Coturnix japonica: one gene and its partners. The protein of the gene in region 1 interacts with the protein of each later gene in a pairwise test. Links are inferred from orthologs where the notes say so. Each region holds a gene or a part of one and is shown in the gene's direction. Other genes may lie near its edges.

Region 1 (3,654 bases):
TGGGTGAAATGATATAGGTTTATGTCAGTGAGCTTTGGATCACACTTCATGTGCAAGTTATCTAGTCTGATAATAAAATACATTGTTCTAATGTATACAAAAGAAGAAAATATGTGGTAGAAAATGCAACATTATGAAGAGATGGATGAGGAGGGTTGGATTTGCAGTCAAGCAAGTAAGTGAAGTTGCATATCCTATGAAGAACATAGTAGTTAACTTGAAATAGGTGTCATCTGGATTTGCATCTAACAACTTTGTTTCTTTACTTTGCTTTAGCTATATGGAAGCCTTGCTCTACCTTATCTATGCTTACCAGAATAACAAAGAACTCTTGTCCAAAGGCCCATACAGAGGGCATGATGAAGAGCTGATATCTCACTACAGACGAGAATGTTTGCTAGTAAGTGAAGGATGCAATATACTACAAAAGTTGAATTTTCCACATAGCTTTAACAAATTAGGCAATGCTGCCATACTTTCAAAAAAACTAAAACCAAAGCATTTTCATTAAAAATTACAAAGATTTCAATAAGAAAAAGGTGAGAGGAAGAAATGTGTGTAGTGAGAATAAAGCATGTGTTTGTTTTAAGTAATCAGTTTCTTTATCATTATAAGTAGTGTGCTCACTGCCATTGTGTCTGGGCTTAGGTAGAAGCAACAGTGGGCAGTATTGGTGGGTGAACTTGCAATGTTATTGCAGTTGGACAGGGATGCAAATGTTTAGAAAAAGGTATCAGCAGATATGATTTTTTTTCCTTGATTATGTCACCTTTTTCTTTGCAATCATAAGAATAGGCAAGAGCAGATGGTAGGACCTCAGTTTTGAAAAGGAGTAGCTAAAAAAGTTGACTTGGCAGGTATCAACTGAAGTGGCCTTAGGAGAGTAGTACAAGATCAAATGGTTTAATAGAGTTTATGTACCATTGCTGTGAACGTTAAAGCTCAGTTGTTATTGCAGATTTGCCATAAGGCAAACAAAAACAGAATGGTCAATTGTGAAATGCTGTATACTTAAAGAATTTCTTTTTTGTGGTGGTACGTGAAGAAACTAAATGAACATGCTGCAGCACTGTTTGAATCAGGAGATGATCAGGAAGTAAACAATGGCCTGATCATTATGAATGAGCTTATTGTCCCGTGTTTGCCATTACTTCTGGTGGATGAAATGGAAGAAAAAGATATTGTCGCTGTGGAAGATATGAGAAATCGTTGGTGTTCCTATCTTGGACAAGAAATGGAACGTAAGTATTTATTAAAGTATAAGACGCTCACACACTCCTGATTTTTATTCATTACTTTTTAAAATGTTTTGGTTTGTGTCTTGAACAGAGCCTGAATCTTTTGTGTTTTGGTAACATATTTTGAATTACCATGACTTTAGAGTAATACTGTACACATTTAAATGAACAGCAGTTTTTCCCATGCATACATAATAATGAAGTTCTGCAATATTTTCTATATATAACAAAGTCCTTAAACGAAACTTTTATTCACTGAAGAAAGTGCATTATTCCAAGTGAAACTCTTAATACTCCCATCCCTGTTAAAAAAAAAAAAAAAAAAAAAAAAAAAAAAAAAAAAAAAAAAAAAAAGAATCAGTTTGGAGCAGGAAGAGGAAAATTGCACCTGTGGACATAAAAGCTTATGGTTATTTTCTTTTCTTTCATTTGCAGCTAACTTGCAAGAAAAGCTGACAGATTTCCTGCCAAAACTACTAGATTGTTCTACAGAGATTAAAGGTTTCAATGACCCGCCAAAGTTACCCTCGTACTCCACACATGAACTGTGTGAAAGATACGCCCGAATCATGTTGTCACTCAGTCGAACTCCAGCTGATGGAAGATAAATTCTGCAACCTTCCTGAGCACACTGTATAAACTTTTTTAGTTCTTAAACCTTGCCTTCCTGTCACAGGGTTTGCTTGTTGCTGCTATAGTTTTTAACTTTTTTTTTTTTTTTTTTTAATAACTGCAGAAGAGAAATGACTGTACAAAGTTTAGCCAGACTGCAAACAGTTAAAGCTGAGAATCGCATGGCACTCAGTCGTTTCAACCAGAATTGATGCAACTTGCAAGTCTGATAATTATGGCAAAACTGCTTTTTTGCCACTTCTCTGTTACAGTATTACTTTGCTTTTATCTTAAGATCCTTTACTTTATCAACAGCTGTCTGGATCATTTTGTGACTGCAACTACTTTAAGTGTCCAGTGCTGTGTAAATACATGGTACTTGGTAGCTTGTAAATGAAATGAAAGAATAAAGTTTTATTTATGGCTACTTCTGTGTTTGCAAGCAGATAACTTGTATATTAGTGTAAAATATAGGCATTTTTAGGAGAGATACAGTATATTGATGGGTAACTCCATTTTATAGATAAGATTCTTCAGGATTTATGGACAGTTAGATGAAGGTAGTCAGAGATTACTGTATGTGAATATTCTGAAAAACTGTCGCAGTATTATACGCTGTTGGTTGGGTTTATTTTGTATATACTTTTTTGATCTTTATGATACTGCACCTGAACACTTCTGTGTGTGTGTGGCTATGCCACGTGTATTCTGATGACAAGGACTGGCTTATGAAGCAAAACAACAATGATGCTTCCCTTCTATTCTTTGGAAAAAGCTTGAAAGAAAAAAAAAACAACAAAAAAACCTATTTTCATTTGAAATATATTAATATCTCTAAGCAAAAATTTTAGGAGTTGATTTGAATAGAGAAAATAAAGATTTTGAAAAAGTGGACTTGGCAAATCTTAAAGGTTAATTAATGTTGTTGTTTTAAAAACAAACAAACAGAAAAAACCCCAAACTAGTATTTTAGCTATGTGAATGACCAGAAGTAAAAACATAACTAATCCCTTACTTGAAATGTGTTGCTATTGATGCTACAAGAATCTCAGCAATCTTATGTGTGTCCTAATCACATTTCTGTTGGAAGTGAAAGAAAAGTTCTACAGGGTTTGTTTTGTAGAACTGAAACTCTGTCTAGTTTAAACAAAGAGTGTTACTTATTTTGTGGAGAAAGAAATTTAACGTGTCCTTAATTAATCTTGTTACCTGATACTATTTTCATTCTTACTCATTATAGAGAACATTTTGTGTTAGAACAGTAAAATATGTGAATGTTTGCTTGTTGGCTTTATTGGAGCGACACTGAACTTCTCATTGCAAGCTTTCTAGTGGAGAGTATTCTGATTTCTGCTAACAAAATAACTGAGGAAAGAAGGAAGGAGGAAGGATTAATTGATTTCAGATCACCTAGAACTGTAGTGGGATATGTGTGGGCAGCTTACATTCAAGAAGAGGCTAAGTTCAGTCTTGAAAATTATTCACTCTTGAGAAAACACTGGGTTGAAATATATAGTAAATAGAATGTGGGCTTGACTTTAAAGGTTTTTTTTCTTTTCTTTTTTTTTTTTTTTTTTTCCCCCGCATGAGTATTTTCCTCTTCTTTTTTTCAGTATTGAAGTGCTTCATAATTGTCAGTCTACCCATCTGTTATATTAAACTGAGCTATTAGTATCACAGTACTACTCAGAAACCTTTTCTTTTTTAGGCCTGAAACTACTTGTGTATGAAATGTCACATTTCAAGGAAAGAATAAATGCATCTTCTGAAAATGCTGAAGATGCATTTTAAAGGGCTTCACGTT
Region 2 (3,654 bases), on another chromosome or scaffold:
ATCAAAATCCTCTGTTTTATCCGCTACAGCTCACAGTTAAGTATTATATGTGAACTTGTAGCCCCCCTGTCCCTCTCATTAATGAAGATGTTGGATATTACTGGCCCCTGTGTGGGTCCTGGAGTAGACCACTATGAACAGCCAATTAGACCACGTGGTCAGTGATTACAAGCCTCTGGCCCTGCAGTAAGCTACTAAAATAATGCATTTAATTAAAGGGATGTCTTCTTAGTCTTCATTTGGTGCAAATGTAATTTCCCCTTTAGATGGTATTTTTTGTAGAATGACTACTTGTGGTGACTTACTGACTACCATCCTCTTCCCTTATGGGCTTGTTTTGCAATAAACAGGGAGAGATGTGTTGATAGGTAATTTAGACTAAGATCATAACTGCTCAAAATGTAGAGATTTTAAAGGCAAAGCAAAGGGAAATTTTATCAACAAAAATGCTGGAAAGGTTAAATTGAATGTAGAAAGTGATCTTAAGTTAGTAATTTTTGGATGCAAACCACAAGAGTTAATAAGCTGTATAGAAATCAGTTTTGTAGCTGGAATGTCTCCCTTATTCAGGAAGGAGAGAAAACCAGAAGATCTGCAAAACATATGTCTCAGTGTTGATTGTGCCCTGTCTATGCTTTTCTGCAGTGTTTTCTGTGTTGTGGGATTCTTGTTCAGTTGACTAGTGTGCTCCCCTCACTGCAACTACCTCGCATACTCATAGTGAAGGTATTTCTCATCTGTTTCTTGCCTCATATGCAAGAAATATCAGATTGGCCACAGTTTGGTAATGATCCATCTATGAACTGAGAAGGCAATAGCCATGCTTGCAGCAGGGCTGCCGGGGAAGATGGCAGCCTGAAGCACCCTGTGACAAAGGGTTCTTTTTTAGGATGCTGACTCCTCAGTTGCAGTGTTGCACCAGGGATCCTCCCTTCTTGCTTGGTTTTCTATAAAGTTCTCTCCACCCACTTTCACATGACTTAGTTGCACACTTCAGCCAGCTGATACACAATTGCACACTCGGCAGGCTGAGTGATCTTGACGTATACTTGCATTTTTTAATCCATGGACTTCTGTCTTGTTTCCCTAAAATCCTGCCATTTTATTTTAGTTGTGAAGGGTGTACTGGTGCTGCAGCTAGATCCTGCACAGCAACTGAAACAGCAGCTGAGCTTCTCATTCTTTTGTCAGCCTTTATTCAGCCTTTATTCAAAGTAAAGGAAGATGGGAAGACAGATGAACAGTAACAAAAATAAAACCAATAAGTATTTTCTACATTAATGTCCTTGATTATTGTACTTTGTATACATACATTTTTCTTAGTGTACGTGCACTGGAAAAAAAGAATATCAGATATGCAGTGATCTTGTAAAGATGGAGAAACAGCAGTCTTTTTCTATAGGACAGTACCTAGCTGCCCAGGCAGTGTAAGCATATCTTAGGGTTTAATAAAGGTAAGTTTTTCTGATGGCAGTGTCAAAGATTGAGGTAACTCAAGGGAACACAGGAATCAAGAACAGTACTCCTGTATCTAGAGTAACTGTTAAATTAAGAATAAAAGAATTTAAGCTATTTATATTGTCTTCAGTACTCCTCAGAGATACCGAACTTCATTCTTTTCTGTATTTTTGTTGTGTTTCTTTATATTATTCCAATATAAGGAATTAGAAATGAAAGCTGTTCAAGATTACACTATCACATTAATAACTTCTAGTGATGCTCATGTTTCCTTTTTTCATTTCAGGCATTAAACATTAATTGACTACTTGGAAAGAAAAAAAAAATCATGGCTTCCAGCATGGCTAACCCTGCTAACCATTTGCCATACTTCTTTGGCAATATTACACGTGAGGATGCTGAGGAGTATTTGATGCAAGGAGGAATGAGTGATGGACTATACCTGCTTCGCCAAAGCCGGAATTACTTAGGGGGCTTTGCATTATCCTTGGCCTATGGAAGGAAGGTTCATCATTACACAATTGAGAGAGAGCTGAGTGGGACATATGCTATTGCAGGAGGCAAATCACATGCAAGTCCTGCTGAACTCATTAACTATCATTCAGAGGAAGCAGATGGCCTTATCTGTCTACTGAGAAAATCTTTCAATCGACCACCAGGCGTTGAGCCCAAAACAGGGCCCTTTGAAGATTTAAAAGAGAACCTCATCAGAGAGTATGTCAAACAAACATGGAATCTGCAGGTAAATCCAGGTGAATTTGCCATGAAGTGGACCTCATGGTAGCCTAGAGTCTCCTCACTAAGGGAGAGTAGAGGCAGGTGCTAATCTCTTACGTGATAACAGTGGCAGGACCCACCAAGGGAACAGCATGGAGCTGCTTCAGAGGAGGGTCTGGTTGGGTACTGAAAAAAGGCTTTTCACCAGAGGGTGACAGGACACTGGAACAGGCACCCCAGAACAGAGGTCATGGCACCAAGCTGCCAGAGCTCCAGCACTGTTTGGACAACACTCTCGGAGATGCAGTTTGACATCCCAGGGATATTAAGTATACCTAGCTATGTCAGACTATCTTTTCAGTTAAGATACTGATGTCTTAAGTTACTCACTTCTTTCTTAGAGATAAAGGAAAAATCCCAGCTTTGTGATGTTTAAATTGCTCTAGCGTATTTTGTCTTTCAGTGTCTGTGTAGCAACTAGTATTTTTCTTCACATAAAGTAAATATGTGCATGTGTTAGGTGTCCCAGATGCAATGCAATACTGGGGTTACATCTGTACGTTTTCTACTGCAGAAGACAGTTAGAATGTCCTATTATTTTACCACTCCAGGGTCATGCTCTTGAACAAGCTATAATTAGCCAAAAGCCTCAGCTGGAGAAACTGATTGCCACTACAGCCCATGAGAAGATGCCTTGGTTCCATGGGAGGATCTCCCGGGAAGAGTCAGAGCACCGTATCCTCATTGGGTCAAGAAACAATGGAAAATTTTTGTAAGTGTTTTCCTGCATTGCTGTCGTTTATCACTACCATCATTAAATAGTTCACTTGGCTGAACAGCAAGTGAGAGTATACCCAAAGAGGTGGCTTATTCACAGATGCCTGCTGAATTTATCCACACGTACTAAGTGGCTGTGGTGAGTTAAACTTAGCCCACCAAGTTGCTCTCACAATCTGCCACTGCAGCTGGATGGGAAGTCAGAAAACAGGATTGAAAAGCTTGTTGGTCAACATGAGAGAGAACTGGGAAACTGTTTACCAGTTCTTGGAGAAAACTGATTTAATCCAAATTAAAATTTGGATAGTAAATAACAAAGACAAAAACATAAACCACCCTCAGAACACCCCCCCTCCCATTTTTACAAGCTCATCTTCACTCCTTCACGCCCAGCTCCTCTTCCCACCAGACAGCACAGGGGGATAGAGTCTGGGGTTATAGTCAGTCTGCAATAGTTTCCCCCTGATGCTCCTTTCTTCTCACACTTCCTGCTGCAATGTGGGCTCTTGGCAGACTGCAGCTCCTTCTTGAGCCAAGGTAAAACCTCAGAAGTGAGGGTGGACATGCTTCTTCAGTGCCAACTGTTTTCACATTACTGATTTGCCATTATTCTGCCAAGCTCCAAATTAATGGAGATGTGGCCTTCATATTTATTTATATAGGCAGCTTAAATTTTAAGTCCTCTAAATCCTCTTTTCAGAC
Region 3 (3,654 bases), on another chromosome or scaffold:
CATTTTGTCCTAGGGAAATTGTTGTTTTGTTTAAAATTATAAGCTGTTAATTTCTTAAATATAAACTTTATGCTAACCTAATATTACACTTCTCTGGTAGAATAGATGCATTATCTACACACACAAGGCTTTGTTAGTGCTCAGTGTACCTCTGCTTAGGGTACCTTACTTACTTGCTTTGACAAGTATTTTTCCACGGGAACTCTACTTTATATAGGTGGCTTTATCAATCTGCTCTTGGAAGGATACCGAGGTATAATTGTGATTAGACCTGCTAAATGTAAAAAAGGTTTAAGATGTTTAATTAAGAATCAATTACTTTTAAACATATAGTTACAATTTACTCAGTACCAAACTGGAATAATACTTGTGAGGATAAATTAGAGAATTCCAGTGTTTTCTTGAGTTTTAAGGAAAGAAATAATTAAATATTCCTTAAGCATTTTAAAGTGTTGAAGTATAATTAATGTATGTTAAAAATCTGTCACGTCAACACATGTTTTGAGTTTGGAGGTGAAACTTAAGTTTTTACTGTTTCAGATTCAGAAAGTCTGCAACAAAAAGCTGTGGGAAAGATACACTCACAGGAGGAAAGAAGTCTCTGAAGAGAATCATAACCATGCTAATGAAAGGATGCTGTTTCATGGTGAGATGCTGGGATGTGTCTTTGATACTCATTTAACCATCAGTACTCTTTAGTGGAGGGTTTCTGTTGGTTATTCTTGAGGTCTAAATTTTATGACCGTTAATTGCAAGTAAATAAGTGGTGAAAAAGAACATTGGAGAGACAAACAGAAGAATGCTTTAGACAGCTGCTGCACAGTTTTGTTTGGAGTGTATTTTTTAACTTCTTTTTTAAATACCACTTAGTGTCAAGAATGGGATTTATGTAGCGGTGAAATCCAGAATCTATGATATGAAGCCATGCTGAAGGGAATCCAGGTTCACTGAGCCTTCTCCTATAGCAAGAGTTGTTTGAGATAGTAACCTTTGTAAATATATGATAAGCTGACATGTTTCAGCTCCTATCCCTTGCATAAGATCTTCAGCAATCTTGTCATGTAAATTGGAGCTCACAGTTGCTGGAGATTGATTTCCTTCTGTGTGTGTGTGGAAATGGTATGCCAAAAAGAAAAAAAGTTGGGGGATGATAGTAAAATTGTTATAAATTTCCAAGTGCTGTACTTAAATATTTATACTTCCCTTCTTTTAGGCTCCCCGTTTGTGAACGCAATCATTCACAAAGGCTTTGATGAAAGACACGCTTATATAGGTGGCATGTTTGGAGCTGGAATTTATTTTGCTGAAAATTCTTCCAAAAGCAATCAGTATGTGTATGGGATTGGAGGTGGCACTGGATGTCCAATTCACAAAGATAGATCTTGTTATGTTTGCCATAGGTAAGTTATGAAGGAATAACATAAAGGAATCTAATTTTGATTTGCTGGTCTGCAACACAGTGTGTAAGTTAGCAGATTCTGTGAGAAAAGATTTCCTTGGTAACCAGGCCTTGCTATACACTGAGCCTAGCAGAGATGATCAAAGAACTTTGGTATTTGTATTACAGAGCGTTCAACCATCTTCAGTGTATATAAATAAGCCTTTGCCCTTAAAAATCAGACTTAGGTAGAGAACAAGGAGGATCTGCTAGCTGCTTGTGTTTAAAATGTAGCAGTGTCAGTGTGCTGTCCACTTGATTGCCTGTTTATAGAGACATGGAAAAACTTAGTGATGCTCAGATGCTGTGTTGAGGAGAATGCACTTTGGAAGAGTTCATCTCTACCATGTCACTGCTGCTTCAAGCGCTAAAGTATAGACATGGATTTATGCAATCCCTGCCACTACCTACATTTTTACATCCTTGAGTCCGTGTGCCTGTATTTATACTGTTGCCATCTTCTGGTACTCTCAAATAAAAAGAAGAATCTTCTTGAGGTCTAGAGAATGTCAGACTGAAATCTAATGTTAGAGCATTAGTGCACTATGATGTTAGCATGAATAGTTAGGGAGTGGGGACCCATAGAAAATTAAAAGGGAAATAAAATTTCAGAGTTTTGCAAACTACCAACGCCATCCAAAGTGTCCACAAAGTGCCGCAGTTCTCAAGCAGCAGTTTAAAATTATGAAGACTGTCTTTCTAGTGCTGTACAAGCATTCTGTAGTCATGATTCTTTTTCCCCTTTTAACACAGACAGTTGTTGTTCTGTCGTGTAACGCTGGGCAAGTCTTTCCTGCAGTTCAGTGCTATGAAAATGGCCCATTCTCCCCCTGGACATCACTCAGTTACTGGGAGACCCAGTGTCAATGGACTGGCATTGGCAGAATATGTCATCTACAGAGGGGAGCAGGTAAGTTGCTCTTCTGGTTTGCATTTTCAGACTTTTATTATTTTAGGGTGATGTAGTGTCTTGCCTTTTGTGAGGGTTTGTTGTGGTTGTTTTGTTTTCACCTTACATTCCATGTGCTAGGAGTAGCTTTTGTCTTAATCTCCAGCTGTGGCCGAACATGAGTTTTCTTTGTTGCCTGAGTACTCGAGGCATTCTACCATTTGACATTTTGTCCTTTTCTTTGACATAAACATGTTGGTTTTTTTCCTCTCTAACAAACATTCTGAATGTATCCAGAAAACGTAAACTTAATAAAGAATGTGTGTGTCACTCTTTCAGGCTTATCCAGAATACTTGATTACTTACCAGATCATGAAACCTGAAGCCACCACTGAAGCTTAAGATAAATTTTGTGTGAGAAACCATCAGACTTGGATGTGAAGATACCGATGGCTGCCATCCTGTTAACTGCAATGAGTTGTTGAGAAAAAAATCTTCCATCCACAGGTGGTGTTGGTAGCAAATGTGAATAAAATCTGCCGTTTTTGACTTGATGAAGCTTTAATAATGTATAGTATGTTTTTCTAAAATTTCAGAATTGTCTTTTTTCAGCACTTTAACGGATACCATTCCAGGCGTAAACTGCAGTTTGCCTGTACTAAATTATAAACAAAAATTAACTTGAAGCGATGGTTTTATACAATACTGCATTGAAATATAACAGAAATTATGATGCTCTATACAGGAAATTGTTTTACTAATATTGTGTTCTTTAAAACACTGCATTTACACTGAAAATGTTTTCATTTGTAAAACTGTAAATAAGAGCTTTTGTACTAGCTTGGTATTTATTTACATTGCTTTGTAATATACGTGTTTTAGAACTGCAACCTTGTACAAAATGGTTTTTTCCAGATGTTGGTTTGTTCACCTGTTTGCTCATGCGCAATAGATTTGAAAAGCCAATTATTTCAGGGTTTATCATTTGTTTGGGAGGGAGAAAACGAATTTTATCTGGAGAAGTTTAGAAATAGCCAACTTTAGATTGAATATTCAAATTTTTGTTCCGTAGTTTTATTTATGAAATATACATTCCTGAGAGTGATAGGCTATGAAAATATTCCAGCTGAATGCTTGGGTGCTTTTCCACCTCTTTATAGAGTCTCGTCTTCTAATTTCTGTAAAATGTCTTCTGAAGTTTTTATTTAACTGTAGCTATAGTTGAACCGTATCCTCCCTTCAAGGCTAGTAGACCTTGCAAGTTAGTTTTAATAAATTATTTTTCTTGAATGTAGTTGGCAAATTAACCTCAAGGAGGTCTGTCTTG

What was found.
Region 2: the proteins of USP25 (region 1) and SYK interact in binary tests that used the Homo sapiens proteins (3 or more experiments, as listed by UniProt). The link is inferred for Coturnix japonica from reciprocal best matches to the Homo sapiens genes USP25 and SYK.
Region 3: the proteins of USP25 (region 1) and TNKS2 interact in a two-hybrid assay, tested with the Homo sapiens proteins (2 studies listed by BioGRID and IntAct). The link is inferred for Coturnix japonica from reciprocal best matches to the Homo sapiens genes USP25 and TNKS2.

What each region holds. Positions count from the first base shown.
Region 1 is NC_029516.1:88,770,109-88,773,762, forward strand, and holds the end of USP25 (ubiquitin carboxyl-terminal hydrolase 25), read left to right. Parts: intron 1-276; coding exon 277-400; intron 401-1,045; coding exon 1,046-1,241; intron 1,242-1,673; coding exon 1,674-1,846; 3' UTR 1,847-3,129; downstream 3,130-3,654. UniProt on the Homo sapiens protein: Deubiquitinating enzyme that hydrolyzes ubiquitin moieties conjugated to substrates and thus, functions in various biological processes including inflammation and immune response.
Region 2 is NC_029547.1:39,258,150-39,261,803, forward strand, and holds part of SYK (tyrosine-protein kinase SYK), read left to right. Parts: intron 1-1,744; 5' UTR 1,745-1,786; coding exon 1,787-2,200; intron 2,201-2,786; coding exon 2,787-2,947; intron 2,948-3,654. UniProt on the Homo sapiens protein: Non-receptor tyrosine kinase which mediates signal transduction downstream of a variety of transmembrane receptors including classical immunoreceptors like the B-cell receptor (BCR).
Region 3 is NC_029521.1:17,321,879-17,325,532, forward strand, and holds part of TNKS2 (poly [ADP-ribose] polymerase tankyrase-2), read left to right. Parts: intron 1-540; coding exon 541-646; intron 647-1,213; coding exon 1,214-1,400; intron 1,401-2,191; coding exon 2,192-2,348; intron 2,349-2,666; coding exon 2,667-2,729; 3' UTR 2,730-3,654. UniProt on the Homo sapiens protein: Poly-ADP-ribosyltransferase involved in various processes such as Wnt signaling pathway, telomere length and vesicle trafficking.